Linked DNA regions of Astyanax mexicanus. The protein of the gene in region 2 purifies or fractionates together with the protein of the main gene of each other region. This does not show direct contact. Links are inferred from orthologs where the notes say so. Each region holds a gene or a part of one and is shown on either strand. Other genes may lie near its edges.

The links.
Region 1: the proteins of cabin1 (region 2) and ubn1 purify together in Homo sapiens (affinity purification with western blotting; 6 studies listed by BioGRID, with this or other methods). This does not show direct contact. The link is inferred for Astyanax mexicanus from reciprocal best matches to the Homo sapiens genes CABIN1 and UBN1.

Annotation. Positions count from the first base shown.
Region 1 is NC_064428.1:15,990,722-16,006,689, reverse strand, and holds the start of ubn1 (ubinuclein-1), read right to left. Parts: upstream 6,619-15,968; 5' UTR 6,087-6,618; coding exon 5,856-6,086; intron 3,622-5,855; coding exon 3,523-3,621; intron 2,676-3,522; coding exon 2,577-2,675; intron 2,245-2,576; coding exon 2,104-2,244; intron 1-2,103. UniProt on the Homo sapiens protein: Acts as a novel regulator of senescence. Involved in the formation of senescence-associated heterochromatin foci (SAHF), which represses expression of proliferation-promoting genes. Binds to proliferation-promoting genes.
Region 2 is NC_064419.1:22,919,974-22,936,884, reverse strand, and holds the start of cabin1 (calcineurin-binding protein cabin-1), read right to left. Parts: upstream 8,126-16,911; 5' UTR 8,041-8,125; intron 7,966-8,040; exon of another isoform or gene 7,707-7,965; intron 6,445-7,706; 5' UTR 6,401-6,444; coding exon 6,398-6,400; intron 5,836-6,397; coding exon 5,740-5,835; intron 5,625-5,739; coding exon 5,511-5,624; intron 5,413-5,510; coding exon 5,278-5,412; intron 4,102-5,277; coding exon 3,921-4,101; intron 2,638-3,920; coding exon 2,508-2,637; intron 2,340-2,507; coding exon 2,190-2,339; intron 968-2,189; coding exon 495-967; intron 394-494; coding exon 222-393; intron 1-221. Other genes in the region: cep78 (centrosomal protein of 78 kDa), read right to left, coding at 11,744-12,178, 13,237-13,360, 13,476-13,630, 13,716-13,793, 14,110-14,265, 14,361-14,403, 14,588-14,690, 15,164-15,254 and 2 more. UniProt on the Homo sapiens protein: May be required for replication-independent chromatin assembly. May serve as a negative regulator of T-cell receptor (TCR) signaling via inhibition of calcineurin. Inhibition of activated calcineurin is dependent on both PKC and calcium signals.

The DNA.
Region 1 (15,968 bases), on a different chromosome or scaffold from region 2:
GCTGCTGATGCTGGTGCTCTAAACATTCTTTTGCTACTAGATTTAAGTGCTGCATTTGACACAATTAACCACTCTATCCTTCTATCTCGACTCTGTGAACTTGGCATCGTTGGCACTGCCCTGGACTGGTTCTCATCTTACCTAACTGACAGAAAACAATTTATTTCATTGGCTGGCTATTCCTCCCATACCTCTGTGATTAAACACGGAGTACCACAAGGATCAGTCCTTGGACCTCTCCTGTTCATCATCTATATCCTTCCTCTTGGGCCTCTGTTGCGTCACTTTAACCTAGACTTCCACTGTTATGCGGACGACACCCAAATTTATCTTAGCACTAGTTCTATCAATAACCCACCCACTACTCATTTAGAAAGCTGTCTCTCTGCGATCCAGAACTGGATGAAGGACAATTTTCTCATGCTAAACAGTAATAAGACCGAGCTCATCCTAATCAGCACTAAAGCAGTCCTCAATCAAACTCCTACTCTCTCTCTCAACTTTGGCGGTACAGTAATCTCTCCCTCTACCCAAGTCCGAAATTTGGGCGTTCTTCTAGATTCCACTCTCTCTTTTACAGCTCACATCAACTCTGTGGTGAAAACTGCATTCTTTCATCTGCGCAGAATAGCTAAAATTCGACGATCCCTTACTCAGTCCACTGCTGAAATACTCCTTCATGCTTTTATTTCCAGCAGACTAGATTACTGTAACTCCTTGCTTGCTGGCATTAGTTCTTCCTCTATCCATAAACTCCAGATGGTACAAAACGCAGCTGCCCGTTTACTCACTCACACTCGCACCCATGAACACATTACACCTGTTCTCCAAAATCTTCACTGGCTCCCTGTTAAATACAGGATTCAATTCAAGATTCTCTTACTTACCTATAAGGCATTAAATAATCTTGCACCTCCTTATCTGTCAAACCTCCTTCTTCCTTACAGACCATCTCGATCCCTTAGGTCTGCTACTGCTGGACTTCTTAAAGTCCCAGCCTCTAAACTCCGTGGCTTTGGTGATCGGGCTTTTTCCAGACTTGCTCCTCAACTATGGAATTCTCTCCCATCTGTGGTCAAACAATCCTCCTCTCTTTCCTTGTTCAAATCTACACTCAAGACTCACCTCTTTTCTCTTGCCTACGGCCTTCCCTCTGTTTAATGTACTATACCACTTATCCCTGCTGTCTGTTCTCGTACTATGTTGATTGTCTGTCACCACTTGTTGTGTAATGTTATTATGTGTAAGTATTATTATTATTTCAATTGGATGTACATATTAACAGAACTTATTTATTACTTAAAATTTTACCATGTCATGATATACAATGTAATCAATCAATGAGGAAGTGAGCTCATTACCCCTGTTGTCCACTTCATCACACATTAATCACGCATCAACAATACAATTCTATGTTAACAATTTTTTTCCTTTTTTTTGGCAATGTTGTCGATTATTATAAAGATAAGATGAGCATAATGCAGAGCCCTCAAGGTTTGGGGTGCCTAAATGTTGAAAATAGCAATTTAAGATCCATCAGTGTCTTTAATACATGTTCTGTAATGTGTTAATAAAAGCTATTGTAATTTACTTTGTAATGACTTTATGAATTTATGATAGCTTTAGAGAAGCACGTTTGTTTTTTCCAAACAACATTTAGGGAAGTCATGTTTTTTAACAGAATGATAAAATTTAGTTTGGGCTTCTTAAATATTATCACATGTAGTTAATGATACTTTAATGTTGTGGATCAAACCAACCAGTTTTTTTTTTTGTTTTTTTGTTATAGTAATGAACAATGACACTTACTGATTTAATGCTATTCATATAGTGTGTGTTAATATATGAATATATTACACATAAACAGTTCTGGACAATTTGACTCTTTTACAATTTTACACTTGGCTCATTTTAAGCTTGGCTCAGTAACAGGAAGAGTTGTAAACGCTTCAGATATTCCACAGCCTTACAGTTCAACAATTAGATGTTAAGAACTAGATATTCCTAGAAACTTAAGAATTTAGGCCACACAATATTTATGCCTGGAAATTCCTACATGTTCAGGCAAATGAGTTAAACAACCTTAAGTCACATAAGACACACCTTAGGCTTAACGTTCTTCTCAAAGTCATCCGTCTCATTTTCTTCACCCTCTTCTGACGCCTGGCGGAACTGGAGCGTCCCAGAATTTATGTAAAACCCTCCATGTTTGGTTGTAAGACAGGCCGGAACCAGCTCATCATACTTCAAACATTATACAAGAATAAAACAGGTTTAAAAAATTTAAAAGGTTAAGAAAATAATGTTTTGCAAACCAGTTCACACTGTGAAAAAATTAACAGAATATCTGAACTCATTCCGAACATACTGCAACAAAACCTTCTGTGATCCAGAAAGAAGAAAAGTAACTGACCATTAAAATCTAAAATCTAAAAAAAGGAATGACGTTGGAATCACAGGCTGGATGTATGACTTTGATCCTGTGTTGATTAAGATAAATCAGAGATTTAAACCTCAGCAGATTATTGTTATAGCTTGTGTGTGGGGGGGAAACTCTGCCCTGTTCCAAAACTCACCGCTTCAGAGTTGTCGATGAAGGAGTCTGTTTCATCATATCCAAAGCCCATGTCCACCAGATCCTGTAATCTGTCTTTCCGTCGTTTAGGAGCACCACCCTAGAAAATAATAGTATTACCAGATATCAATACATTCCATACAGTTCATACCATCACCATAATGTAGAAATTAATTAGGTAATAAATCCACATATGAAACAAGAGACCTAAAACAAACAATAGAAAATACATGTGTTTTAGCATGATCAAACTCATATCATTATGTCTAAAGGGTTACACAATATTCTAGTCGAAAAAGAAAGAAGAAAAAACAACGGAGCGGGTGTTCCCAGTATTTTTGTTTATGTGCTGTACCATAAATTCCCTGTTTCGATTAACTTGATTATGTGAAACAACTTTGTCGTATTACACTTCTTAAAAAAGAGGTAGGCTAACATCTTAGTGACTATAAGGGTACTACTACACTAGTGACTAGAAGGGTAAAACCACAGTGAGTATTTATGAGACTGCTAAACAGGCACGTGCATTCCTGTGAGTTTTACCTAGCTTTAAAAATCAAAAAATGTTAATGTTAATTTATTTGAATTTATATTGCAGTCTTTCCTCTAACATTTTCATGAGGTAGCACTAAGGACTAAAGGTAAAATCATGAATGATGCTGCACTGCTGAGGTGGCTGGCTAGCTTAATTTGAGATTAAAACAGCACTGCTGAGGTAAATGTATTGCGCTTGGATGGTTTGTCTGCTTGGATGTTAAAAATATTTAGTGTTCAATGATACAATCATAGTTTTGTAATTGCTTTTTCTTTGGAACGCATGAGGAAATACACAAAAGCTATGTCATTTATTAAATAGTGAAAAATGTGGCAGATTTAATGAAAACCTGTGAAAAACATGTTTGGTATTCAGCCACAAATGCTAATTTTGTTGCATTCCTACAACTTACATATTTCTCCTCAAACTTTTTGGACAGGGCCTCCATCTCATCCCTCTCCTTCTCTTCAATCTGCTCTTCCAGAGTTTTCCTATTGCTTCCATTTGTGATCTTCAAAAGAGGAAAGAAGAGAAGCCAGAATGGAATTCTATCTGTGCCATGATCTACTCTTAAAAAAAAAAAAAAGAAAAAAACACACAAATGCTTCTTTGAGTGATGCCACATCAGAACTGCTTTTGGTCCTTTAGGAACCTCGAAATTACAGAAACATAAAATACTTTTATAAAATTATACATTTATAAAAACGTTTTCTATTTATTTCTACAGCAGAACTGAAAACTGTTTCACATCTTAGACATACTATGGACAGGATTAGTTACAATCATAATTACAAACCAACTGATGTATCAATCAGCATTGACAAAGAGCTCCTATGGAATCTCATTAGAACTTTACTGACTGGAATGGAAAGTAGAACCATTTATAGACCATAAATAGAACCATTTTTGTGCACAAGTACATTCAGAAAGACGTGCGTTTTATAAAAACAAACAGCATTATAAACTACATTATAGGGCTGGATATTGTTTTTTTCAATATATATTGCAATTTAAAAGAAATACAGATTTTTTTTCACCAGCATTTACTCTCACTCTGTATATCCAAAAATGTAATAATAATTACTGAGTAGATATAACCTGTTTCTGGTATAATGGAAAATGAAAACAGTGACAGACATAGACACAGAGACAGAGACAGACAGACAGACAGAGAGAGAGAGAGAGAGAGAGAGAGAGGGAACAAGAGCAAGAGGGACACAGACAGACAGACACTTCTCAGTGGAGTCTCTTCTTCTCTCTACCTCTCCTCCCTCTGAATCAGTTCTGATTTAACACATTTATAAATAGCATCAAAGTGGGTTCCACCCACCACTTCCACTTGCAGCTAAAAACACACTGGTCTAATCCAGTGCAGTCTGGCCTGGTACTGGTGTGGCCCTGTTAACTACTGTTAAAACAAACAAACATACAAACAGACAAACAAACAAACAAACAAACATCATGTGTCCCAAGGTTTGTTTCTCCTCCAGCTCTGAGGGAGATTTTTATTGCCTCTGTCGCTCACTGGGGCTTCTTGTTCTATGTTGTGTTTTATTTGATTCTCTATACTGCTTACAGTTATGGTTCATCAGTTATAAAAATGCTATATGAATAAAATATATTTGTGACGGGTAATACCAGTGTAAAGAGCAGTAAAACACCAGTGAAATTATATTTAATAACCTTTTGCTCACAGCATGACTCGTGTTGAGTAAACGACCTCTTTTCCATAATTACTCTAAACATTATTACAGATTTAGAGGAATGTCAATCATTACTTCAAATAACTTTTTATACATTTAATACAGTGTTATTTTATAGGGGGGTGGATATTTTTGCCATGTCTGCAGTGCTGCCTATTTACCCTGATTCATTTCAACTGGTTTAACTGGTTAAATAACAGCTGTTGTTTGAATTATACTTCTTAAAGTTACCTAAAAGGGTAAGAGATCACACCAGTGATTAGAAGAGGGTAACACACCAGTGACCAGAACAGTAAGCTACCACACCAGTGACTAAAAGAGGGTATCACATCATAACACACCAGTGACTAGAAGAGGGTAACACACTAGTGACTAGAACAGGGTATCATACTAGTGACTAGAAGGGTAAGCGAACACACCAGTGACTAGAAGAGGGTAACACACCATAACACACCAGTGACCAGAAGAGGGTAACACACCAGTGACTAGAAGAGGGCAACACATCAGTGACTAGAAGTGGGTAAGCTGCCACACCATTGACTAAAAGAGAGTTAGGTACACACTAGGAAAAATAAGTACAGATTGTACTTAAGAGTATAAAGCTTGTTGCTGGTGCTGTACCTAATATTGAGGTACAATAAATTACTCTTCATTAAAAGTCTTTTTTGTACCCATGTTTTTTTTTGTACCAGTAAAGATTATAAAGATTATAAACATCATCAACTGAATGTGTGTCTTGATGATCCAAAATTGTCTGGCTTTCAAATAAAAATGTATAATTACAATTTGCATTGTTTATTTGTAAAGTGATACAGAATACAGAATGTACGCTTTTGGCTGGTAAAATGGTACAAATCTGTTCTTCCGGCTATTAGGAAACATATCTGAGCCTGTAAAGACCAATATTACACCAATATGTAACAATTATGTAAACTTTTATTGTACCTCTGTTTTTTAGTGTGTATCACACCAGTGACAGTTGTGTACAGGTATTTATGAGAGTGTTGAACAGGCACGTGCCCTCTCGTGAGTTGTAACTTACCTGTCCTTTGATCAGCTCGGGGTAGTAGAACTCCGGGCAGCGCCGCTCATCCGGCTCAAACAGGACCAGCTGAATTCTCGCGGATGGAACCGGGTCGGTGGTCTCGGGGGGCGGCGGATCTGCCGCCTGCTGGGTAGGGGGCACGTCTGGGGCGGCATGGCTGTTGGGGAGGGACGGGGGAACGACCTCGCTCGAGAGAGTCGTGAGCTGGATCCTTCGCGGCGTGGCCATTTGCACCTGTCGTCGTTTCCCCGCGCGTGCACAGGTGCGCCAACTTAAGTGATTGGAAAGCCAATAGCGAGCGGCCGAGGTGTCGCTTTAGCCGGTGTGGAGAGGAGGTTCCTCAGAGGCATGCTGGCGCATTATTCCGCTCTGGAAGGAGGAGAAACAGCCTGAAAAACAAAGCGAGAAGCTGGAGCTTCAGTGCATGCCCCCCCTAGACACGAGCTGATGGGTGGTCGACCTCCTCAGACGGTCGTCTGATGCTCAGCTCCTCGTTCAGCATCTCTGTTTGAGGATGAACCCGGATTAGGGCGATCCAGGCCTCGTTTCGTTCAGAGACGCATCAGCGGACCGAGCATCGTCTCGACGTCGGCTGAGCGTCGGATGAGAATCGGGACGCAGGTTTAGCGAGACTGAAGCTGATCCACCATCTCAAACCTCAGCTTTCTGAAATGACAGCTGAGCTGAGAGCAGAGCCCAGAATTCCTCAACAGCAGCAGTAGCAGCAACACAGCCCAGCATCATCATCAGCATCATCATCATCAGCATCATCATCAGCGCTCGCAGCATCCCCGCAGCCTGATTGGACAGGATCAGGTCGGTCATCCCGCCCACCAAGCCCACCTAACAAGGCGTCATCAGCGCGCGCCCCCCTTAACAAGCTTTTTTTTAATACACTTATTGTGTCAATACAGTCAGAAACCTATTGTTCATGAAAACCACCAAGAAAAAGAAGTGAGACAATTATAAAAAAAAAAAAAAAAAAAAAAAAAAAAAGTTATTTGCAAATGTTCATGCAGATTTCTATTTCTTGACACAAGTATTTGTTTTTAAACAGTTTGGCATAAAGCATTAAAAAGTAACAATAGTTTAACTATCACTTTAATCTTTAACCTTTTGCTCAGAGACCGTTTTTAAAACATAGATAAGCAATCTGATCCAAAAGTCCAATATCAGAATAAAATTAATAGTATAGAGGAAACACTTTCTTAAGCACTTTCCCAATTAATCTAAAACCATTTACACTGGAATAGCCACTAGATATATCATAAACTCCAACGTGTGAACTACTGAAACGATGTATTTAAGTGATTTATTTTTAAAAAAATATGTACAGTGTCACGCTGCAGCAAAGGACGGACGAGGAGAGCGGACGCACACGCAAGTAATCTTTATTAAACAGAAAGCAAATAAACAGAAACTGAGTACAAACTGAATCACGAATCGAACAGAACAAACCGCAGCCGAGACAGACGTATACACGCACAAGAACCGACAAACCAACACTGACCACAAAAAGGAGCTTAAATACACACACAAGGCGGGAAAGGGAACCGGTAACACCTGGGGAATTAGGTGGGCGGAGCTACGAATGAATACAGGTGACAATAGTTAAGGTAAAGACACGGACGAACACAGGAGCGGAGTTACAGATGAACACAGACAGAGATAATATACACGTTATTGTGACTTAATTTCTTTCTAAAATTAGCCTAATAATTACCTAATTACCTTTCACACTACATGACAAAAAAGAAGGGACCCTTTCAAATTATAATGCAAGAAATTTTTAGAATAGGTAGAACACATTTTTCATAAAAGTTTTAAGTAGTAGTAGTCTCAGTAGTTCACTATTTCACTCTGTAGTCTACTAATTTATGTAGGCTTAATACATAAGCCTATTGTAAATTGTTTTTTTTTTCTAACATTGTCCTGATTCTTTTTTTATAATATTGAACAAAAACTGATTGTGACTTGTGCAGCACAGTCAGAAGAACAAAACTCCTGTGAAGACGTTGGCGGCAGTTGGTCGGCTCAACCATGAGCTCTTAAAGCTATTTTTTTTTTGTGTGTGTTCAGGCAATGCACGAGAACAGTGAGAATTACATTAACCAATGCACTTATATACAAATAAGTTGATTTATGTTGATATTTGTTTTTAAAATATAAATGCTTTGCCCTACAACCATTCCAAAATGGGTCAGATAAAGATTTTACCTGCTAGTTTTACTACTAATTTGACACATGTTAATCATTACTATTTTTAGCCTATAAAACAATGATTCTAATAATACTTGTTTGGATAGACATTTGATCTCAAGACAGCATCCTAAAAATACATCTGATAAAAAAAGTTTTAATTTTTTAAAAATAAATTTCTCTGGGATTTTAAAATGTGGCAAATTTGACAGTGAAACTGAGCATGTATATATATTTTATTCCAATCTAGATAAAACACAAGGGACTGAAATAATATCCCTCTGCAATAAAGATGGCTGCCTGTTAATTTTCTGCAGGTTCCTCTGTACTGCAGAGGGCGCTGTCCTTGTTGCTGGAGGCCCATCATCTTTCTTTCATTACTTTACCAGGGTATATATTTAAATTCCAAAAGTCTGTAAGTTAAGTTTTTGGTGAGAATGTGTAATTGCACAGAGCATGCTATAAAGTTTTTTTTTTTTTTTTTTTTTTTTTTTTAAACAAGCATTGTGCTGCAGTCTCTGTTCAGAATGAGTGCTATTTTACTGACGAGGCTGAAGTTGGCGTCTTATTCGCCAGTGTCTTATTCGGATTTTCCGGTCCACCTTAAAAAGTCGAAGTACCAATTATTCGCCAGTAGAGAGCAGGGTTGAGCCGAGCAAAACGAGTTTGGCATTTAGGGCATATTACACTGAGAATACATTGCCTGTTCTGGGTATTTCCAGTTGCCCGAACTCCAGATTATCAAATAGTCTGTTGAATTTGACACCACATTATGAAAATATAACTAGTATACTGTGAATAGCCTAAAGAACTTAACATTTAATGTACAGTTTTTTTTTATTATGAGCCTCTGAACTTGGCATTTGAGAAGATTAAAGGAGAATAAATTGCCTGTTCTGCATATTTCTAGATGCCCTAAATCCACATATTCAAATAGTCTGTTAAATTTGAGACAAATTATGAAAATTTACATATTAAACTGTGAAAATCTTTAATAATTACAAAGATTACTGTACAGTTTATTATTATGACCCTCTGAACTTGGCATTTCAGAATATGTCAGTAGAATAAATTACCTGTTCTTCATATTTCCAGTTACCCTAATTCCAGATTGTCAAATAGTCTGTTGAAATCAACACCACATTATGAAAATATACCTATTAAACTGTGAATAGCCTAAATAACAAAACATATTACTGTACAGTTTTTTTATTATGACCCTGTGAACTTGGCATTTGAGAAGATTAAAGAAGAATAAATTGCCTGTTCTGCATGTTTACAGATGCCCTAAATCCAGATTCTCAAATAGTCTGTTGAATCAGACACCACATTATGAAAATATACCTATTAGACTGTGATGAGCCCAAAGAGCTAAAAATATTACTGTACAGTTTTTTTATTATGACCCTGTGAACTTGGCATTTGAGAAGATTAAAGAAGAATAAATTGCCTGTTCTGCATATTTCCAGATGCCCTAAATCCAGATTCTCAAATAGTCTGTTAAATTTGACACAAAATTATGAAACTATACCTATTAAACTGTGAACAGCCTTTATAACAAAAAAAAATACTGTACAGTTTTTTTTTATAATGAGCCTCTGAACTTGGCATTTGAGAAGATGTCAGGAGAATAAATTGCCTGTTCTGCATATTTCCAGTTACCCTAATTCCAGATTGTCAAATAGTCTGTTAAATTTGACACAAAATCATGAAAACATACCTATTACACTGTGATGAGCCCAAAGAGCTAAAAATATTACTGTACAGTTTTTTTATTATGACCCTGTGAACTTGGCATTTGAGAAGATTAAAGAAGAATAAATTGCCTGTTCTGCATGTTTACAGATGCCCTAAATACAGATTCTCAAATAGTCTGTTGAATCAGACACCACATTATGAAAATATACCTATTAGACTGTGATTAGCCTAAAGAGCTAAAATATTACTGTACAGTTTTTTTTATAATGAGCCTCTGAACTTGGCATTTGAGAAGATTAAAGAAGAATAAATTGCCTGTTCTGCATATTTCCAGATGCCCTAAATCCAGATTCTCAAATAGTCTGTTGAATCAGACACCACATTATGAAAATATACCTATTAGACTGTGATTAGCCTAAAGAGCTAAAAATATTACTGTACAGTTTTTGTATTATGACCCTGTGAACTTGGCATTTGAGAAGATTAAAGAAGAATAAATAGCCTGTTCTGCATATTTCCAGATGCCCTAAATCCAGATTCTCAAATAGTCTGTTAAATTTGACACAAAATCATGAAAACATACCTATTACACTGTGATGAGCCCAAAGAGCTAAAATATTACTGTACAGTTTTTTTATTATGACCCTGTGAACTTGGCATTTGAGAAGATTAAAGGAGAATAAATTGCCTGTTCTGCATATTTCCAGATGACCTAAATCCAGATTCTCAAATAGTCTGTTAAATTTGACACAAAATTATGAAACTATACCTATTAAACTGTGAACAGCCTTTATAACAAAAAAAAAATACTGTACACTTTTTTTTATAATGAGCCTCTGAACTTGGCATTTGAGAAGATGTCAGGAGAATAAATTGCCTGTTCTGCATATTTCCAGTTACCCTAATTCCAGATTGTCAAATAGTCTGTTAAATTTGACACAAAATCATGAAAACATACCTATTACACTGTGATGAGCCCAAAGAGCTAAAAATATTACTGTACAGTTTTTTTATTATGACCCTGTGAACTTGGCATTTGAGAAGATTAAAGAAGAATAAATTGCCTGTTCTGCATGTTTACAGATGCCCTAAATCCAGATTCTCAAATAGTCTGTTGAATCAGACACCACATTATGAAAATATACCTATTAGACTGTGAGGAGCCTAAATAACTAGAAATATTACTGTACAGTTTTTTTATTATGACCCTCTGAACTTGGCATTTGAGAAGATTAAAGAAGAATAAATTGCCTGTTCTGCATATTTCCAGATGCCCTAAATCCAGATTCTCAAATAGTCTGTTGAATCAGACACCACATTATGAAAATATACCTATTAAACTGTGAATAGCCTAAATAACAAAAAATATTACTGTACAGTTTTTTTTATAATGAGCCTCTGAACTTGGCATTTGAGAAGATTAAAGAAGAATAAATTGCCTGTTCTGCATATTTCCAGATGCCCTAAATCCACAGGGTCATAATAAAAGAACTGTACAGTAATATTTTTAGCTCTGTGGGCTCATCACAGTGTAATAGGTATGTTTTCATGATTTTGTGTCAAATTTAACAGACTATTTGAGAATCTGGATTTAGGGCATCTGGAAATATGCAGAACAGGCAATTTATTCTTCTTTAATCTTCTCAAATGCCAAGTTCACAGGGTCATAATAAAAAAACTGTACAGTAATATTTTAGCTCTTTAGGCTAATCACAGTCTAATAGGTATATTTTCATAATGTGGTGTCTGATTCAACAGACTATTTGAGAATCTGGATTTAGGGCATGTGGAAATATGCAGAACAGGCAATTTATTCTTCTTTAATCTTCTCAAATGCCAAGTTCAGAGGCTCATTATAAAAAAAACTGTACAGTAATATTTTTTGTCATTTAGGCTATTCACAGTTTAATAGGTATATTTTCATAATGTGGTGTCTGATTCAACAGACTATTTGAGAATCTGGATTTAGGGCATCTGTAAACATGCAGAACAGGCAATTTATTCTTCTTTAATCTTCTCAAATGCCAAGTTCACAGGGTCATAATAAAAAAACTGTACAGTAATATTTTTAGCTCTTTGGGCTCATCACAGTGTAATAGGTATGTTTTCATGATTTTGTGTCAAATTTAACAGACTATTTGAGAATCTGGATTTAGGGCATCTGGAAATATGCAGAACAGGCAATTTATTCTTCTTTAATCTTCTCAAATGCCAAGTTCACAGGGTCATAATAAAAAAACTGTACAGTAATATTTTTAGCTCTTTAGGCTAATCACAGTCTAATAGGTATATTTTCATAATGTGGTGTCTGATTCAACAGACTATTTGAGAATCTGGATTTAGGGCATCTGGAAATATGCAGAACAGGCTATTTATTCTTCTTTAATCTTCTCAAATGCCAAGTTCACAGGGTCATAATACAAAAACTGTACAGTAATATTTTTAGCTCTTTGGGCTCATCACAGTGTAATAGGTATGTTTTCATGATTTTGTGTCTGATTCAACAGACTATTTGAGAATCTGGATTTAGGGCATCTGGAAATATGCAGAACAGGCAATTTATTCTTCTTTAATCTTCTCAAATGCCAAGTTCAGAGGCTCATTATAAAAAAAACTGTACAGTAATATTTTTAGCTCTTTAGGCTAATCACAGTCTAATAGGTATATTTTCATAATGTGGTGTCTGATTCAACAGACTATTTGAGAATCTGTATTTAGGGCATCTGTAAACATGCAGAACAGGCAATTTATTCTTCTTTAATCTTCTCAAATGCCAAGTTCACAGGGTCATAATAAAAAAACTGTACAGTAATATTTTTAGCTCTTTGGGCTCATCACAGTGTAATAGGTATGTTTTCATGATTTTGTGTCAAATTTAACAGACTATTTGAGAATCTGGAATTAGGGTAACTGGAAATATGCAGAACAGGCAATTTATTCTCCTGACATCTTCTCAAATGCCAAGTTCAGAGGCTCATTATAAAAAAACTGTACAGTATTTTTTTTTGTTATAAAGGCTGTTCACAGTTTAATAGGTATAGTTTCATAATTTTGTGTCAAATTTAACAGACTATTTGAGAATCTGGATTTAGGGCATCTGGAAATATGCAGAACAGGCAATTTATTCTTCTTTAATCTTCTCAAATGCCAAGTTCACAGGGTCATAATAAAGAAAACTGTACAGTAATATTTTTAGCTCTTTGGGCTCATCACAGTGTAATAGGTATGTTTTCATGATTTTGTGTCAAATTTAACAGACTATTTGAGAATCTGGATTTAGGGCATCTGGAAATATGCAGAACAGGCAATTTATTCTTCTTTAATCTTCTCAAATGCCAAGTTCACAGGGTCATAATAAAAAAAACTGTACAGTAATATTTTTAGCTCTTTAGGCTAATCACAGTCTAATAGGTATATTTTCATAATGTGGTGTCTGATTCAACAGACTATTTGAGAATCTGGATTTAGGGCATCTGGAAACATGCAGAACAGGCAATTTATTCTTCTTTAATCTTCTCAAATGCCAAGTTCACAGGGTCATAATAAAAAAACTGTACAGTAATATTTTTAGCTCTTTAGGTTATTCACAGTCTAATAGGTATATTTTCATAATGTGGTGTCTGATTCAACAGACTATTTGAGAATCTGGATTTAGGGCATCTGGAAATATGCAGAACAGGCAATTTATTCTTCTTTAATCTTCTCAAATGCCAAGTTCAGAGGCTCATTATAAAACAACTGTACAGTAATATGTTTTGTTATTTAGGCTATTCACAGTTTAATAGGTATATTTTCATAATGTGGTGTTGAATTCAACAGACTATTTGACAATCTGGAATTAGGGTAACTGGAAATATGCAGAACAGGCAATTTATTCTACTGACATATTCTGAAATGCCATGTTCAGAGGGTCATAATAATAAACTGTACAGTAATCTTTGTAGTTATTAAAGATTTTCACAGTTTAATATGTAAATTTTCATAATTTGTGTCAAATTTAACAGACTATTTGAATATGTGGATTTAGGGCATCTAGAAATATGCAGAACAGGCAATTTATTCTCCTTTAATCTTCTCAAATGCCAAGTTCAGAGGCTCATAATAAAAAAAACTGTACATTAAATGTTAAGTTCTTTAGGCTATTCACAGTATACTAGTTATATTTTCATAATGTGGTGTCAAATTCAACAGACTATTTGATAATCTGGAGTTCGGGCAACTGGAAATACCCAGAACAGGCAATGTATTCTCAGTGTAATATGCCCTAAATGCCAAACTCGTTTTGCTCGGCTCAACCCTGCTCTCTACTGGCGAATAATTGGTACTTCGACTTTTTAAGGTGGACCGGAAAATCCGAATAAGACACTGGCGAATAAGACGCCAACTTCAGCCTCGTATTTTACTGGGACCTATCAGACACCCTGCTTTTATAATGAATATATGTGGCTTTGCAGGAATTGTAGCAGAAGCACTCACTCAAAAACACTACTGTTTTCCATTTAAGAGAACAAAATCTTAAAGGCTGATGCTTTAAATGTAAACCTTGTTTAAATATGACTGTAGGTGGGACATTTTGTGATGAAGTTAAAAGCACCATATCAGAAGATGCAGAAGAAGTATGATAGAGATTGGTGGGATATTCTTATAGCATTTAAACCTATTTTGGCAGAATCTGCTGCCAGTATTAAGAAATAATATATAATATAATATTGCCTATATGACTGTTTAGAGAATGTTTAAGACGCACACTTAAAATGTTAGTAGAACAATTTGGCGCGTTGGTGTCCTTTCGAAACAGTTCCTGTATGGGTCATGTGACCTGCTGAAACCGATATGCGCACCGATGCGGGGTTTGCTCTAGGAGCTCTGCGCATGTGCCGACGCATCAGCGTTGCCGAACCCATCACTAGTTTCTACTGAAGAAAACAAACAAACAAATAAACAAACAAACAAACAAAGTCTTGTGAGCTCAAAGCCAGTTAGACCTAACGTTGTACCCTAAGAAACAGGATAACGAATAAACACATAATTTCTTGTATTTGCTTATTTAGCAAATTTGTGATTTCTTGTGATATAATCACAGAATCACAAAATTGGGATATAATCACAGAATCACAAAATTGGGATATCATCGATATTCTGGGCAAAATAGCAAGATAATATCACGGACAGTATATAAACATATATATGGCCATATATGGACACACATATTAAAGAGTTGTACATATATACAATATATATATATATATATATATATATATATATATATATATATATATATATATATATATATATATGTGCATATATAATAAATGAATTTATAAAACAATCATTACATTTTCAGTGTGAACATTTATTCATTTTTATAATATTAATATATCCAACCCCTACTACTGATTCCAGGTCAAACTGACATATGTATAACCATGTTTAAAAATTACAAAAAGTATATAAAAATAGTAGTTTTATCTAGTAATATTATCTTTAGCTTGCTGAATATAAATATAATCAATATTTTGTGTAATCCAATATTTGCCTCTTTCAAATAATGGTTGGTCTATAAAAATTCACAATAACCTATATTAAATCACTACAGTTTTGATAAAAAGTTTATATTCTTTTATTTAAAAGCTTTATTGCAATTTCATTCATTCATTACTAACACATTAAATTAACTCATTAAATACTTGAATTTAAAGGCTAATTGATAGAAAAGAGCTAAATGATTAAATTGTAGTAAGATTCACTACTCACTGCGTGGCAGCAGAGGGCAGCAGAATCCATAGAAAGTAAAATCACTTTACAATAGAAGCGGATAGTATTCTGTTTACACAGAAAACTTATATATGGCCATATATGGGCACTTATATTAAAGGGTTGAACATATAATTCAAATTATATGTATATTTATTATATATAATTTAAACACATATAAGCACTACCAGACAAAAGACACACCTAATTCAAAGTTTTTAATTTTGTAAATGAATACTAAAGTGATCCAGACTGAAGAACGACACAAGGAATCATGTAGTAACTTAAAAGCGTTAAACAAACCAAAATACTCTGTGAAGCATTTTGGTGCTCTAATCTGGGGAGCTGTTAACATGCAGTTTCTGATGCTGGTAACTCTGATGATCTTATCCTGTACAACAGACGGAACCCTTGATCATCCTTTCCTGGAACGGTCCTGATGAAAGCCTGTTTCATCAT
Region 2 (16,911 bases):
ATTTTTAAAGATCTAATTCCACACCTTTTTTTCTACACTTTTTTCCAAACTTGTGTAGAAACCCTGTACATCTAAACATTGTGTGGTAAATCAATAACAATAGTAAATGTCTGCCAAATGTAATGTAATGTAACGTAACAATTACTGCAAAAGGCAAAATTGGAATGCAATCATGTGTCATTTGTGTTTTACCACCATGTATTTACACAAAATATCAATACCTTGGCGGTAAAAACTTAAGAAGCAGCTCCTGGAAGTCAATCTTCTCCTCCTTCTTGCACTTTGTGTTGCGGACTCGTGCCGAACGTCTCTTGGCGGTCTCTGCACAGTCCTCAATCACTCTCTTTCTTTTGGGTGCTCTCTTGGCTTTATCATTCAGTGTTGGGTCGAGTACTGCAAAGAAAATAAACATAGTAATTCCACTGAATTTGCTCTATTCCCCATATATAAACCATTATACAGCAACCCATAGCACTGTAAGTACTAATACTAACCAACAGGGGGAGCTGAAGAAGCAGCAGCAGCAACAGTAGTTCCATTCACAGCAGCAACAGTAGTAGTCACTGTAGCAGCAGCGCCGATCTCCATGATGTTCTGGTTCTGTGAGAACTGTACCAGGGAGCCAACCGGCACCTGCAGCTGAACAGGAAGCTCACAGGGTGTGGGTAAGCTGGAGCTGGGGCTGCTGGAGCCAGGCTGAGGTGGAGGGGGGAGCTCAGGCAGGGGAGCAGGGGTGAACTGGGCTGGCTGTGGAGGGTCAGGAGCTGGAAGCGGAGCAGTGGATAGAGTATCAGCAGCTGGCATGGTGGTGGTGGTGGTGGTCGTGGTGGTAGGAAGTGTCTGGGCAAGGCAGTCTGGGTCCTTGTACATGGACAGGTCGATTCTTCGTCCAAAGTCGGGTCGGGGAACCAAGCACTCGTTCTGGTGTTTATACATGGCCAAGAAACTGTCCCCCACACTTTTCCAGCTAGTAGGAAACAGAGCAAGAACATATAATTAGAAAATGTGTCAGACATTAACTGACCATTTGATTGGATTGTCTTCTTTAGATGTGCAGTCATGCAAACAAATCAATAACGATGTTAAAATGCATGTGACTCTCCTGTTCAGAATTTTACAGGATAAATATTGTATATTTCTGGAGCACATAATATTTTTTTCTGCTAGGCAAAAGTGTTTAGATTTTTTTTGTTTAAACGCCCATTACACTTATTTAATTTGTCTGTCAAATGATGAGTGTGGGGTCAAATTATGGCAAAATAAGAGTCAAATAAAGGCTTGCTCTACAGACAACTTCACGAGAAACATTCCTGCTAAAAAGTGGGAATTAAAAAATCTGAAAGAATAAATAAAATAGAATAAAAATAGCAAATAATTAAGGGCAAATTAAATTTCAAATAATTTCCAGACAAGCATATTTGAAAGCAATTAAGAAATTATGCATAGACTTAAAAAAAAAAATAAATAAAAAAAAATAAAAAGAAATCTGAATTTTTTTTAGAAAATTGGTGTGACATCAGGACTACATCATCCAACTGGATGAGACTTTCAGGGAACAAACAGAAACTAAATTTTATTAGTGGCTGTGTGAGCAGCATTTTAAAGTAAGTTTTACTTTTTTTTTTTACCACCGTTTGTTTATTGTCTGTGGACTTCTCGTTGGATGTATGGGGGAAGACAAGTCTGTAGCTTTAACATTATTAATTTTAAAATTGATTAAATTGTTAACTTTATTATTACTATATTTATTTTATCATAATCATCATCATTAGTATTATAACTATTAATAACTATAAATATTTTTTTGATATTCGCTATTACCAGTACACCTGAGCAAAATCACAGACTGTGAAGTGGTACACTGAATTTATCATTTGAATAATATGTATAATATGATAATATGTCTTACGCATATATATTTTATAAACAGTTTTCACCAGAGGAGGATAGGTTTCCCCATTGTGAGATTTTTTTTCCGCATAGTTTAAAGGATTTTAATCTTGCCACTTGCTCACAGGTGGTTTACACATCTGTTCTATGTGTTTGCGTCCTTTTTTCATATACTAAATTACTGTATTTACATAAAACTGCTTAGCAAAAACATCAGTTGTAACAGAATGAATTTGATGTTGCTCCTTATTAAAGATTAACATAACAGGAGCAAGGATTTAGCCGCATGACGGACTCACGTAAAGCGCTTGATGGGCTCCACCAACTGAAGGTCTGGCCGGTGATGTGGGGTCAGCTTGGCTTGTCTTTGTCTCCTCAGTTCCAGAGCCTCCTCCACAATGCTGTGAGCTTCCTCCTCATCAATCTCACCTTGATATCCCATCATATCACTGTAGACAGCATGAAACATCAAATCAAGACAAGATCCCCCATTTAAATCTTTAACGGCCAGTTTCACAGACTGAATACAGCAGGGCTGTGATAATTAGACTCGATTAATGTCTGCAGACCACAAATGTTTAGTGAAGCAAGTGAAGAGGAATGTTGAGCAGGCGTACATTTTTGAGAACATTTTCATGGAGTCTCGTCTGAGGCAAGGCTGCTCCTCAAAGATCTTCTCCTTCAGGACCCGACCTTTAGTATAGCCTATGTCCTTCTCCAGAGCCTTGCAGATGTGGTACAGGCAGCCTGTGAAAAAAAAATGACACAAAGAAGCAAAGAACATTATATACAATCTGGAGTTTCACAAAGCATCGAAAGTTCAATGCTTTTCAATACTACAATTTCAAAATCGTTTTAAATCCTGTTGCATTCGATGCTTTCAATGCTATATACAGCCTGTAAAACTGAATCAGTAATCTGAATAAGTGAATCAAATCATGCATGCTTATTTGATTTGGATGGCAGCTGTAGCTAGTTAGCTAGCATGGCAATGTCAAAAACTCAAGTGGATATAAAGATAAAAACAACAGACAAATAATAGTATCATAAAATACTATAAATAGCTTATAAATAAATGTACAAATAGCTCATCTATTACTATTATTATCTAGGTAAAATTATTTCCATTAATACTTCACCTTTAGACAAAAGTATTGCTGGGTGGTATACCGGTTCAAACGGTCCACTGGAGAATGCCCCAGACAAGCCCAGAATCGGTCATTTATTTAGTAAACGTGATAAGATTCCCTAAAACACTGAATACAAGGAAATAACTATAGTCTTCTTTAAATATATAAATACTGTAGCTTGATGGATAATATTAATGCACACTGAATTTAATTTGGAGAAAAAAAAGGTGAATTTTGGCTGATTTTAATACTGTAATTCCTCTAATGGCTTCAGGAATAACATTGTAAATTGATATTAAACTTGTGTCTGATATTAAACTTGTAAAATAGAGCTTTTGAGAAATATCTTTAAAATACTTAAACATAGCTTATTTTAGGATAATTTATGATGTTTTTGGAACTATTTAAAATGTTTAGTTTTGTAAAGGAAGCCTGTTAAAAGTCTAATGTTAATATTCTTCAGCTGTTCCTGATAATGAAGTCAGATTTCTTAATATATTGTGTAATTTTGTGGGACAAAGTAAACCCAGTAAAAATAAAAGCCTTAAATCTAAGCCATAATGTTTGATATTATAAGTCACAAACCTATATTTAAGCTCAGACATGCAATAAAATATAAATAAATAATAATAATAATAAAAATAATAATCATAATAATAAATACCATGATATACTGTGAAACATTCGGAATCTTTTAAAATAACAAAATATACATTGTTGGTCATACTGCCCAACACTAGGTCAGTGTAGTAAATCAATGAGCCACTTGAATTATCAGCAATTGCATCAGCCCCGTATTCCATTTGCTAACTCCACTGATGGAGTTAATTTTTGATAAGGCTTGAGCTTAGCACTAGAAGCACAACAAAGCACTTGTGAACAAACTGGTAAAGTAATTACAGCTATAGTCGCTGAGTGTGTAGAGGACGGTGATGAGGCTGTCGAGGCACGGCCAGTGGTCAGGATTACAGCGCAGTCCCACCTCGAAGGCATGACGAGCTAATGGGATACTGACTCTCCTCAGAGCCACCTGACCCAGCTTATACCACATGTTCACATCTGTAGAGTCCAGCATAACAGCCTGCAGAAAATAAACATGAACAAACACGATCAGGAGAACAAATGTTCTGCGTTCTTTTAAACTAAAGCACACAACTCTTACTCTTTTGTAGCTTTGAAAAGCTACAAAACCTTATTTTCCACAGTATTTTATGACATTTTATTTATCAACATTTAGATTTGTACATTTAATATACCCTGAGATTATTTTTACGGCTCGTTTTACAGAAGATAATTGGTGCCAGAATCTTTAAAGATGCAGAAGCGTGCAGTCTGACAAAAAAAAATGACATGGGGCATTTGAACGGGACTAAAATAATCTAAAATAAACTAAGGGTGACCAATAATAATATCTTCTCACTAATACCTTCACCTTCCCATGTACAACTAATCTTCGGCAGCTGATGGCAAGCTACATAACTGGGATTCAAACCACAAAATTCCTCATCATAGTGGAAAAGATTTAGACAGCTGGACCATTGGCGCTCCCCTCGTCCAACAGAAGCTAGTGTGTAGTTTGTAACTGTGTAATGTTTTATTGATCTGATTTATGGGCTAAGCAGTTTTAACATCCGCTACTCTAGAATGGCTGAAGCTACTCAAGACCTGGCAAGAAAGCTGTAACTGAAAACTGTAAAACTAAGGTTCTCTAGACTACCAGAGCTAGACAGACCTGTTATAATGCATAGGATACATCTTAATCTACAGCTCTGGAAAAAAAAATTAAGAGACCACTTCAGTTTCTGGATTGGTTTCTCTGATTTTGCTGTTTATAGGTATATGTTTAAATAAAATGAACATCATTGTTTCATTCCAGAACCTATGGACAACACTTCGCCCAAATTCCAAACAAAAATAGTCATTTAGAGCATTTATTTGCAGAAAATGAGAAATGGGTGAAATAACAAAAAATATGCAGAGCTTTTAGACCTCAAATAATGCAAAGAAAACAATCTTGGCATGTTCTCCTCCACCAGTCTTTTACACTGCTTTTGGATAACTTTATGCAACTCCTGGTGTAAAAATTCAAGCAGTTCAGCTTGGTTTGATGGTTTGTGATCATCCATCTTCCTCTTGATGGTTCCAGAGGTTTTTTAATTTGGTAAAAAAAAAAAAAAAAATTAAGTCATTTTTTTTTCAGAGCTATATAAATCCATCCACAATCCATAATACTTGTGATCAGTTTGTTAGATTTCACCTCCACATAGAAGTCCATGGCAGTGTCCAGGTCATCCCTAAGCACAGCAAGACTGGCCAGGTTTTTGTAGGTGGAATATTTCAGCATTAACCCCGGGTGTTTGAGCCCGACCTTCTCATCTTCCGACGCCACCGCCTGAAACAAATCCAGAATAACAGACATATTGTTAATTACAAAAATATCAGCAAAACAGCCTCATCTAATTTCACAAACAGCAAGAGTCACATTTTTACCTCCCTAAGCAGCGGTGTCTTAAGAAGCACATGGTAAGCTCTGGCCGACTCCTCAAACTTGTCATGCTTCTGTAGGTCAAGAGCTTTGTGGTACAGGGCAAATGCCTCTGCCTCCTGCAGAACAGTGAAGAACAGGGGATGGAAATTGACAGAGGGGAGACAATTTTAATAGAAAGAAACTTTCAGTGACATCACAAAGTTAATCAAGATTACAGAAAGCAAAACTTACCTGAGCCTCCTTGGTCTGACTGGGTTTAGCGCTTCGAAAGTGATCCTCATGTTCATCTGCAGTCTGAGAGGCTGCATTAAGAGCAGCTATCCGGATCTGTGAAAGAAATGAAGTTAGCAAATAATTTAATAAACATTTTAATGAAAAAAAAAAAGCAACCAAACCATGAACTCGAGTGAAAGTCCTTAGTTTTGTATTTCTACTTAAATGTAAAGTATTTGCCATTAAATGTACTTTAATATTGAAATGATTTACTTAAGCTCTTAAGGTCTTATGTCGATTTTTCATATTTGTAACACAACTGAGTTTTCCTTACTATACTACATCTATATATTTCATAATTTACGCATGTATATAGGCACTCTTAGATTTTATGATGTTGCATAAATTGTAATTTACAATGTTAGTTCACCATGTGCTTGAAATGGGTTGCGGTCAAAATAAGATAAAAAAATAAATAAATAAATAAACCATATATAACAACTTTTTTTTATTATTCTGCACAATGTTTAGCAAAAAGTAAGACATTTGAGGAGAAGTCACCAAAATAGAAATATTTCTATATGTCTAAAAGATATTATGTTGCAAAAAGCATGGACTTCCATATCTTTCTATGGAGAACAAGATTGTCAGTTAAAAGACACAGATTCAATCTTACCATGGCTTGTTATGTGTTAACCATCACCACTGACTAATTATTAGGTTCTGTAAAAAGATGACAAGAATCAGAAGACAGGATTAGCAATCTTTATCACATTAAAAAGGCTACCTAAACTCTAGCTGCTATTATATTCTTTAACAATATCAGCAATCTAGTGTTACGCTGAACCTAAATGACCCACAGAGCTCACAGAACCAAGACAGATCATTTTAAATGCAAACTAATAATTAAACATTTCTAAGGAAAAACACAGTAGGTAGCTTTAAATGGTTTGTGAGCCCCTTCCAATCTAATCCAATTTTACATTTCGGTAAACGGCAAAAGTATTTGACGCTTTCAGGATCTGGTGTGACATTCCTTGTGCACCAAAAACTGCAACAAAATGTTTCTGGTTTCAGATTTGCCGCACCGGCTGCGAGGTATATTGTGGGTAATAGGACTGTAAGAAGTTCACACAAGTCACCTTCCATGCATCCTCAATAACGTGGGCAGAGCAAAAACCCATCCAGGTATTTGTTGTGTACTTGGCTAACTGTGATCTTCTAAATGGAATAGTACTTGGGCTGCATCTGATGATGCTTTACGAGTCACAAGAACACAAGAACAGACAAAAAATGACCTATACTTCTCGTTTAAACCAAAAAGTTCTATTTTTATCTCATCCATACACAAGACATTATTCCTTTTATGCACACAAAATTGGTATTTATCGTTCTCCTTAACGTGGACTCGTGAACATTAACATTAGCAAATGTGAAAAGGCCTTGCTTAGAACAAAAGTTACTTGTCTTAAATTTCCTTCAGTTTTCACACAGTCTGTCCAAACTCTTTAGAGATGGCTTTGTAACCTTTTGTGCTACGATAAGGATCAGACTTTAAAATATCCCTGCTTTTTTGTTTGTTTGTTTTACATAAAAGAGGGTACTGCACAATCACACATGAGTGTCATCCCAATTAAAATGCTAATCCTAAACTGGCACATTATTTTGCCACTCATGTTTGTTTGCTGGTCTAATGTTTATACCTCGCTCGTTTGTTAGTTTTTTTCTGGGTCGCCTGGGTCGCCTCGCCACTTGTTCTATGACTTGTGTGAGGTTTGGCTGAGGTTTTAGGTCAAAATTATGCAGAAATATAGAACATTCTAAGGGGTTAAGACACTTTTGAGCACCACTGTAGTAAAAATTAAAATATATCAGCTAACGGCTAACGTTGGTTAAGCTATAGTTTGGCTGTCAGTGTCATCTTCATAACTAGCTTTTTACTGAACACACTGGCTTCAAACAGTATTTACTGTTAGCTACCTTACCTAATAATATAGCGAAGCTCCTGTAGTCAGTGTCAACTAGTGCAATTTATTAAAAACGCTAAAATAACCTATATAACGATATAAAAGTATTGTTATTAGCGGTTAGCTGGTTAGCTAACCCAGCTAGCTATTAACTCCCACAGCGACACTCTTTGTTTACAGTCCCATTCACTCTTACTAACGTTCCGCTAGCTACGGTTAACTAACGCTAGCTTAGCTAACCCATATAACGCTCTCTTCCTCCCCTCTCAGTGTTAAAAAGCCGGTTTCTGCAGCATGTTGATATTCCCTGCAGGAATATATGTCTGTTTTTAATACATGGATTAAATCTTACCGGCTCAGAGACGCAAGTTGTGCACCAGAAAGCATCTGCAGGCAAACGGGCACATCTAATACCGGCCGCTCTGATTGGCTGAAAGAACACAGGCGCCACAGAAAGCAGCCAATGCTGATTTAGCTTTCTGTATTTGACTCTGAGACGTCATGTTCATTTATTCCAGGACAATTATTTACCTGCTATTCCGCCGAATCGGTGCAATTTTATGGATAGAGATTAGTCTCAAAACTCCTGACAAATGTGTAAAAAAATAATCCATTAATTACACAGACACCACAAATACATTTCACTGCTCACAAATAAATACATTTCAGTCTGTGTCTCACGACCTGCAATTGGTACAAATACTGTCAAACTCATAAATACACTTTTCTAGTTTTTATGTATAAATCATAATTTGCATGTAAAACTGAATGCATTTCTTTTACATGTACTTGCATATTTTCAAACTTAAAATGTATTTATAAAGTGTGCATCTGCAGTTTGTGGATCACGTTTGTTTTTTTGTTCATTTCCTCTCGCGTATTTTGGCGTTTGAGACTTTCCTTTTGCATTCCTGCACCTGATCCACACACAAATGCACCACTCCATTCACGCGAACAAGCCGCCGCGAGGGGGCGCTGCTGATTTGGAGGAATGGCGTAAGGGCGGATAGGATTCATTTGTTTGCGTTTGCGCTCGTTTCTCTGTTTCTTTGGGTCGGCGACTTTTTACTTCTGTTGTAAAAAGAGTGTCCACGTTATTTCGTGATTTCTCTCCGTTTTCCACTCCGTGCAATAGACTGAGTTCAGCTGATCTAATGAATTGCCATACCGTTTATATAAAGCCACATTATTCTGTCCAGACTGGTTTGTTTATTGGGGTTGTCTAGTCTCACCACACTCACTAAGTTGGGTAGATACATGTGTAATGTTTGAAATATGTATTGCTAATATAAGATATCTGTAGTATTATCTTATATGAACTTTGCTACTAAAATTACACCTTGAAAAATGTTACCCGCTTTATTGAGGTTCTAGCGCATGTACTTCTTACTTTTAAAGTATTAATGTGTCTTATTTTATAGTTTTTATACATACAGTTGTTTACAGCAGAATACTTTTTTCCAGCCACGTCGGTGCCCGGGAGCCCCTCTGAAATATATAGGGTGTTTGGCTGTTTAACTAAGTTAACAAGTTATACGATTGTAAACAAAATTATTCAGAGGGGCTTAAAGTGTGATATGCCAGCTAGCTCTGACTAGATAAACTTTCGGAATTGTTCATAATATTGTGGAAGAACAGTATTAAAAATAAGCTACCTCATGAAAAGTAGCTATTGCATGAAATGGTTAATATTTAGTAGGAGTTTTGTGATTCAAAATCACACATGCTGCTCACAGAAAATGTTGTTAAATTAATTTAAATTTACTTTTAATTTCAAGTGATGTATTTTGATTTATTATTCATGCAGAAAGACCCTTGACCAAGAACAACATCTTTTATTTGGACATCCACACATTTTTCAACCAGACAATGCAAAACCACACGCCGCACACTGTAATGTGTAAAAGCATGTCTGTGGAAGAGGATACAGGTACTAGATTGGCATACAGTACTAGTAAAAAGTTTGGACACACCTTGTTATTCAATGTTTTTTTTTCTTATATTTTTCCATTCATTGTAAATTAGTACTGAAGTCACCCAAAAGATTGAGTAAAAAAACAAGTCTGTTATTTTCTTTCAAAGCCTCATTTTACACCAAGCCTCTCTGATTGAATCATTTTTTTTTAAATCTGTGGACATTTCTTACAATGTAAATGTTGTTCAATTAAGAAAGCAAGCAACATATTGTATCTGTTATCCATTTATTCACAAGAAATTCATTTTCACAGTCTATGAAAAGTTAATAAAGGATACAAACTGGGTGACCGATTTTTTTTCACACTTAAAAAACAGCAATAAAAAAATAAATAAAACAAACCCTGCGTTTAAAATCTGTTATACAGAAAATGTAAATTACATTTCAAACACGTTCAGTCTGCTTTTTTACACAGTTAAAAGTGTAGACTGAAAAAATGGCTTTTAAAATGGCTTTTCAATTAGTACAATTAACACTTGTTTGGCAAACAGTTTTAGCCCAAAATGGCACACGAAAAAACAATTTACTAGTGCAAATGAAAATCGAAGAGATTTAATTTATAGATATGCCTTGCCAATATGAAATTAAAGATATGTGATCTTGTCAATATGACTATAAAAATATCCTTTACAGGTTTCTACAGGTACCTAAGTGAGCACAATTGACCCGGCTCTCTCTGGGTTAGTAGATGGTGGTCCCTCTCTCCTCCTCCTCCTCCTCCTCCTCCTCCTCATCATCACCACCATTGTGATGGTGGCCGATACAGGGGTCTGTGGTTAAAATGCATCAGAGTGCTTTCTGTAAAGCATTCAGAGTTGAATGCCTAGTAATGCTGCATTGGAAACAGTTAAAAAAGATGTGGTAGATGACATCATGTGTATCAGAGGAGGCATGCACTTGTTCAGACCCTCCCAGCCATAGAAACATTTTAAGTGATAAGTGGAGGTCGTAGTGGGTGGGTACATTGACTGGCTAAGCTAAATTGGGGAGAAAATTTGGTTGCATTACAGAAACCCTAAATATGAGAATTAAACAGATAAATTTTACATTTGTATTACTGGTGGCATTTAAGACCAAAAAGACTTGCCATACTATTAAACATCAACTAAAAGATGTCTAAAGACATACATCTGCTCAACAGAAGACTCCTTCTAAAATTGCACACAGCAGCATAGCCAACAGAACTAGCATATTTTTTTTGCACTATAAAGCGCACTTAAAATCTCCTTTAATTCTCCACAAAAATGGTCAGTGCGCCTTTTAATCCGTGTGTCTTATGTATAAATTTTACCAGTCAGGTTGTAAGGAGCAGTAAAGCCACTCCGCTGAAGTACAGTGTATTACAGGAGTTTCAGTTTAGTTCTCCAGCACCGAGGCTGGAGTAGTATTAGCATTAGCTGCTAGCCGCTATTTCCCCATTCATAGGTGAGTATTATCGGACTGTACCTGGAGCAGCATTAGCATTAGCCGCTAACTGCGCTACAACGTTTGTCATTCAGAGGTAAGTATATCGGACTGTGGTCTGCGTGTTTACTGTGTTAAAACAAGCTACGTGGGACGAACCACTAGCTAATATTGCCCTGGCTTACTGGAGCACTTAGGGTGACTCAGTGTAGTGTTCCTGGGTGGCAGTAGCCGCTAACTGCTAGTGGCTCGCTGCTAATGCTTCTTAGCAGCCTTATTGCTGGAGAAATTGGGGAATCTAAGCCTACTGTAAACGAAAGCACTATACTCAGCCTAATAAACAGTTTTCAGGAGAGAAATCTGTATAGGTGAACATCCAGCACTCGTTTCACTTTAAAAGAAAGTATTTTTGTTACAGTTTTGTTTACTTAGCTTAGCTTTACCTGACCTGCTAAATTAGAAGTTCCATAGAGTCTGTTTAAATGCGCCTTATGTATGGAAATCGACCAGAAAATAGTTAATTGATAGTGCGCCTTATAAAATGGTAAGCCTTATATTGCGAAAAATAAGTTTTTCTGACATTTCTTATTTCTTTAAAAACTGCGATCATCAGTAAACAATGGCACTTAGCATTGAAGCTCACAGTCTAAATGCATTTTACAAATGGAGCTGGGCTCTATAATCCAGCAAACCCAGTGGCACTCCTCTGGTTCTCAACGTTTGAGACAGTTGAAGATCTGGAGCTCAGAGCAGGAGAAACCCTCCCGTCAGAGAAGTCGTCTCTGTAAGAATTGGAGACTCTGCTGCTGTGTATGCTTGTGTGTATGCTACTTGCTGAACTCCCTGAACCTCCCTTGGAACCTCCACTGTCCCGACTTTTCTCAGAACCAGAAAATCTGTGAATACTAGTTTGGGGTGGGGAGAAACTCCATTGCTGCTGTGCAACCTCAGGTTGGCTCAGTGGAGCAGGAGGGGTGCTGGAGTGAATGGGTGGGTTGAAGGGAAGCTCCTGTGGTGACTGAACATGAGGAGAATGCTTGGAGGCAGCAGAAGTTCTAGAGCAGGGTCTGCTCATCTGAAGTCTTGATGCTGTTTCAGGGTTGTCTGTTTTCTGTGGAATAAATACAGAAAGTTATGACGTAAGCAAGATCTTTCATGGTAATTAAGTTCTCTCATGAGGTTTCTGAGACACAGCATTAATGCAGAAGTAGATTTAGATCTTAGAGCAACATATGCTCAAGACAACTGCTTCCCCAGGGATGTCCAGGCATTTCGAACAAGGCAATGCAAAACCACATGCTGCACAAATTACAAAGACATGAACTAGAGGTTTGCACTGCACTACTTTTTTAAAGCCCGCTTCTGCCCGCTCCTGCATGTTTAGTCCCGTTACTGCCCGCTACCACCAATAATCGCTTGTTTTCATTCTGTGCCTGCCCGCCACATACACATTTCTATTCCTAAAATGAACTTAATTAATTAAATGTAGTGCTTGAAATTTACTTATGTGTTTATTAAAACATATATATATATAGCGCTGGATAGAACTGTCCCATTTCTTTCCACAGTCCAAACACATGCTGTCAGGTGAATTGGGGAAGTTGATATTGTCCCATCGGTGTGTGTGTGTGTGGGTCCATCCTCCGCTTTAAAATTTATCAGTTTTCTTTTGTTCCTCGCATTGCAGCCAGATGAAGAATCTTGTAGTAGAGGTGGATTTAGGACTGTACACTGGATGAAGGGTTTGATTCAGTAATTTAAAAAATGTAAAAAAAAAATTGAATTATTATTATTATTACTGATTGATTAGTTGTTTTTCTTTTGTTCGTTATGCATGGAAATCATTGCATGATTGTTATAAATTTTCTAGACTATTTATTCATTTGCAGGATTTTTCTACATGTATATGTGGTCCCGCTCCCGCATCGCCCAAAGACATTCTGACGAGTCCTGCAGGTCTCTAGCATGAACGCAAAACCTACACACAATTTACAAAAAATAAAAGATGGTGATGTTTTGCTATTTTTAATACAGACTGATAATAACAAAAAGTCAGTGCAGTAAGAAAAAGGCAGAGCAGCAGTAAAAAAAAAAATATAATCTTAATGAGAGTCTCAACAACTGTATTTCTGGAGAATTCTAGTTCTCACTGAAATAAATGTCACTTACAGCAACATCATCCTGTCTCTGCACATCGCCCTGGTCTCTCTGGCCCCTTTGCTGTGTGGAGGAGAGCTGAGGACAACCAAAGTCTGACTGCTCAATACCAGCCATGGATGCCAACTGGCCAAGCCTGGGAATAATCATAAAACATATTAACCATGTAAAAAAACTTAATTTAAGACTAATATTAAAAAACACTAAGCCAAAACTGCAATTATCAGTGTGCAAATGTAAGAAAATGATACCCAGCATCTTTGAGAAGGTCAAGAAAGGCATGGAACTTCTGAAAAGAAGATTCAATGCTGTCCAGCACATGCTCATCTTCCAGAACAGAGTGGCTGATATGGGCTTCAGACAGTGACTGATTCAGACTGCGCAGACGACTATTCTCCAACTCCAGCTGAGAGAACAAAACAATGCATGAAATGTATATATTCATTTATATGAAGATAGATATTTATATTAAGGTAGATATTTAACTGTACCTCAACCAAGCGAGAATTAGCTTTCAGTATTGTATTTCTCTCCTCCGCAAGTCTGAGTTTGCATTCCTGCAGCTCCACCTGTAGGTTACACGAGTAACTACACTGAACATACTGCACATTCAACACATTCTTCAAAGCATATTTATTGAAAAATAATGTTTTTCCAATATTTCTCCACAATTTAGTCATTTCCAATTCCCAACTACTAGTTAAGGTACACTAAGCTGTCAATGCATCATTTCTTGCATTACAAGAAATATAAAGCAACATAACTGGCAAGAATATAGTATAGCATCACATTGAGTAATGGGGAAGAGAGGGAGCTATTGTACCATACACAGAAAAAAAAAAAAGAAGAAAAAGAAAAACATTTAATATACAGTTAAGATGTTACCTCTAGGCACTTGAATTCTGCCTGCAGATGCCTGAACTGCCTGCTGGTTATATTTCCTTGAGGACTCTGTGCACACACACTTGGCAACACATCTTCTCTTTCCTCAGACTCTGATTCGCTCTCTGACTCCAGAGTGACTCGGATAGTGGAGGCATTCTGAAGGAGTGATCATGAAGTAAATATTTAAAAATTGCATATTTTATCCAGCATAAACAAATGTAAATATTCAGGCAAAAAATAGAAAAACAAACCTGAAAACTCTGATCTGCTGTAATTGCACCATGTGGAAGACCCCTACATCAGACAGAAACATGTTTAAATTAATGAACACTTAATAAACACTATTGATAGTGATTGCAACAGACAAGCAAAGAAACAGATAAATCACACAACGACAGACAGACAAATCGCACAGACAGGAAGACAGAGAGAAAGATGGAAAGATGGATAGGTATAAAAGGTACACAGTGTCTCTAACCTCTGAAGTGTGGCTCGTGCTGCTGTGCGCCACGGGATATAACCAGTGGATCCAGGCCGAGGTTGCCTCCATCCATACGTAACTGATGAAGTCCGGCGAGATCCTTTAACAGATAGAGCTGATATAAACTCAGAATATCTATTACACAGTCGCACATCATGTGTGATATCATACAGTGAGGAAAATAAGTATTTGAACACCCTGCGACTTTGCAAGTTCTCCAACTTAGAAATCATGGAGGGGTGTGAAATCATGAAGGGCTCACGTTTGGTGCGTGTCCTTTGTGAGAGACTTAATAAAAAAAAATCCAGAAATCAGAATGTATGATTTTTAAATCAGCCATGTTAGTAGTTGGAGTCTTACTGATTGTGTGGGGTGGACAGGTGTCTTCATGCAGCTTATGACCTCAAACATGTGCTTCTAATTTAGAATAATAAGTGGAGTGGAGGTGGACTTTTTAGAGGCAGACTAAATTTCAGACTCCTCCATGATTTATAAGTGGGAGAACTTGCAAAGTCACAGGGTGTTCAAATACTTATTTTCCTAACTGTACAATTAATTCAGGGGTGGCCATACCAGCTCTAAAGGAAGCCCTTCCTGTGTTTCTCCTTATCATCTGTCCTGAATGGTTATGTGCATCCTTAGCTGGAGGCTTCAGCCAAAGATACTGCAAACACAAGCCCAGATTCAAAGTCACTCCTTTAACATTTCCTGATTATATTCTTAAACATACTGTGAGTGTGTTACCTGTGCATCCTGGCCTTTCGTGTTCATGAGCACCTTCTTAATTACAGCCTTCACCAACCCCTTATCTGAGGAGAAAAACGATCAGCAGTGAGAGTGGTGAGCGTTTAAGCAAAGTGGACATTCTTTACATATACAGCTCTGGAAAAAAAATAACTTAAAAACACTTAAAAATAACTTTTTTTTTAATAACTTAAAAAAAATATGAGTTTCTTTGATTTTAACAAATTGAAAACCTCTGGGATAGAACCAAGAGGAAGATGGATAATGACAAGCCATCAAACCAAGCTGAACTTAGTAGAGTGGCATAATGTTATCAAAAAGCAGTGTGTAAGACTGGTGGAGGAGAACATGCCAAGATGCATGAAAACCAATTAAAAACCAGGGTGATTCCACCAAATAATGATTTCTGAACTCCTAAAACTTTATGAATTTGAACTTTTTTTCTTTGCATTATTTGAGGTCTGAAAGCTCTGCATATTTTTTGTTATTTTAGCCATTTCTCATTTTCTGCAAATAAATGGGTTAAATAACATTATTTTTTAGAGATGACCGATCAGTGTTTTGGGGGCGGATTCCGATCGCCTTTTACCTCGATCGGCCGCTCGCCGATACCGATCTTGGGCGGGGCCAAATGCCACACAGGTGCCAGGCAAACCTGCAACAGATTCCCCTAATTACATCCACGCCTAAGCAAACACTGGTAATTTACACTGATAGTAAACAAACAAAAGAGTGTTACTGACCAAAATAAAAGCTTTTCAGGAGAGATATAAGTAATGTGTAAATATTTGCAAGACACCAGAATTTTTATAATTTTTATGTCAATACCACAGGAGTGTGTATCCCAAAATCAGCCGCCTCAGCCTGTTTTGTCAACTTACTGCTTAAAATATCTCATTTACTGTTAATATATAGATAATAATACAATATTTTAATAAGACCAACAGTAATCCATCGCTCCAGCTAGAGCTTAGATTGGGCAAAAACATCCAGTCTGACTATGCCTGCCCTCATAAACTGCAATTAAGAGCGCAGACCTGATTTAAACTCCATATGTTTTGTAAATAACGTAACAGCAATAAAACAGAGCTTTTAACTAAACTCACAAATAGTAGGAAAGAATGAAATCTGTTTTAATTTGGTTAATAAACATCATTGTGACCGCGCTAGTCACAGTTTCACCACAGCGAGGGACAAGGCCTTCGTTAATCACTTATCTAACCAGCCTTTACTGATTTCTGCCCCCAATAACCCTTTCAATAACCTCCAACAGGTTTTAATAGTCTTCAGTAGCCTTCAACAGTCTAAACTGGCGGCCGTGTCCACTAAACTCACAGTAAAGCGCAATAACTGACCTGTTTATAATGTAATACAAGCAGTGACTCCGTGACGGCTGCACTAAGATGCTGCTGTTAGCTTGTGAGCTCACTGGTTGGGCAGAAAGATGAACTGTAGAGAGCTGTATTATCCGGTTAGTGGGATTAAAACCATTATTTACTACACAGATGAAATTAAGAAAACTGAAAAACGCTCCAGATTGGCTGAGCTACCATTGTAGCCCGTGGCTGGGCTGTAGC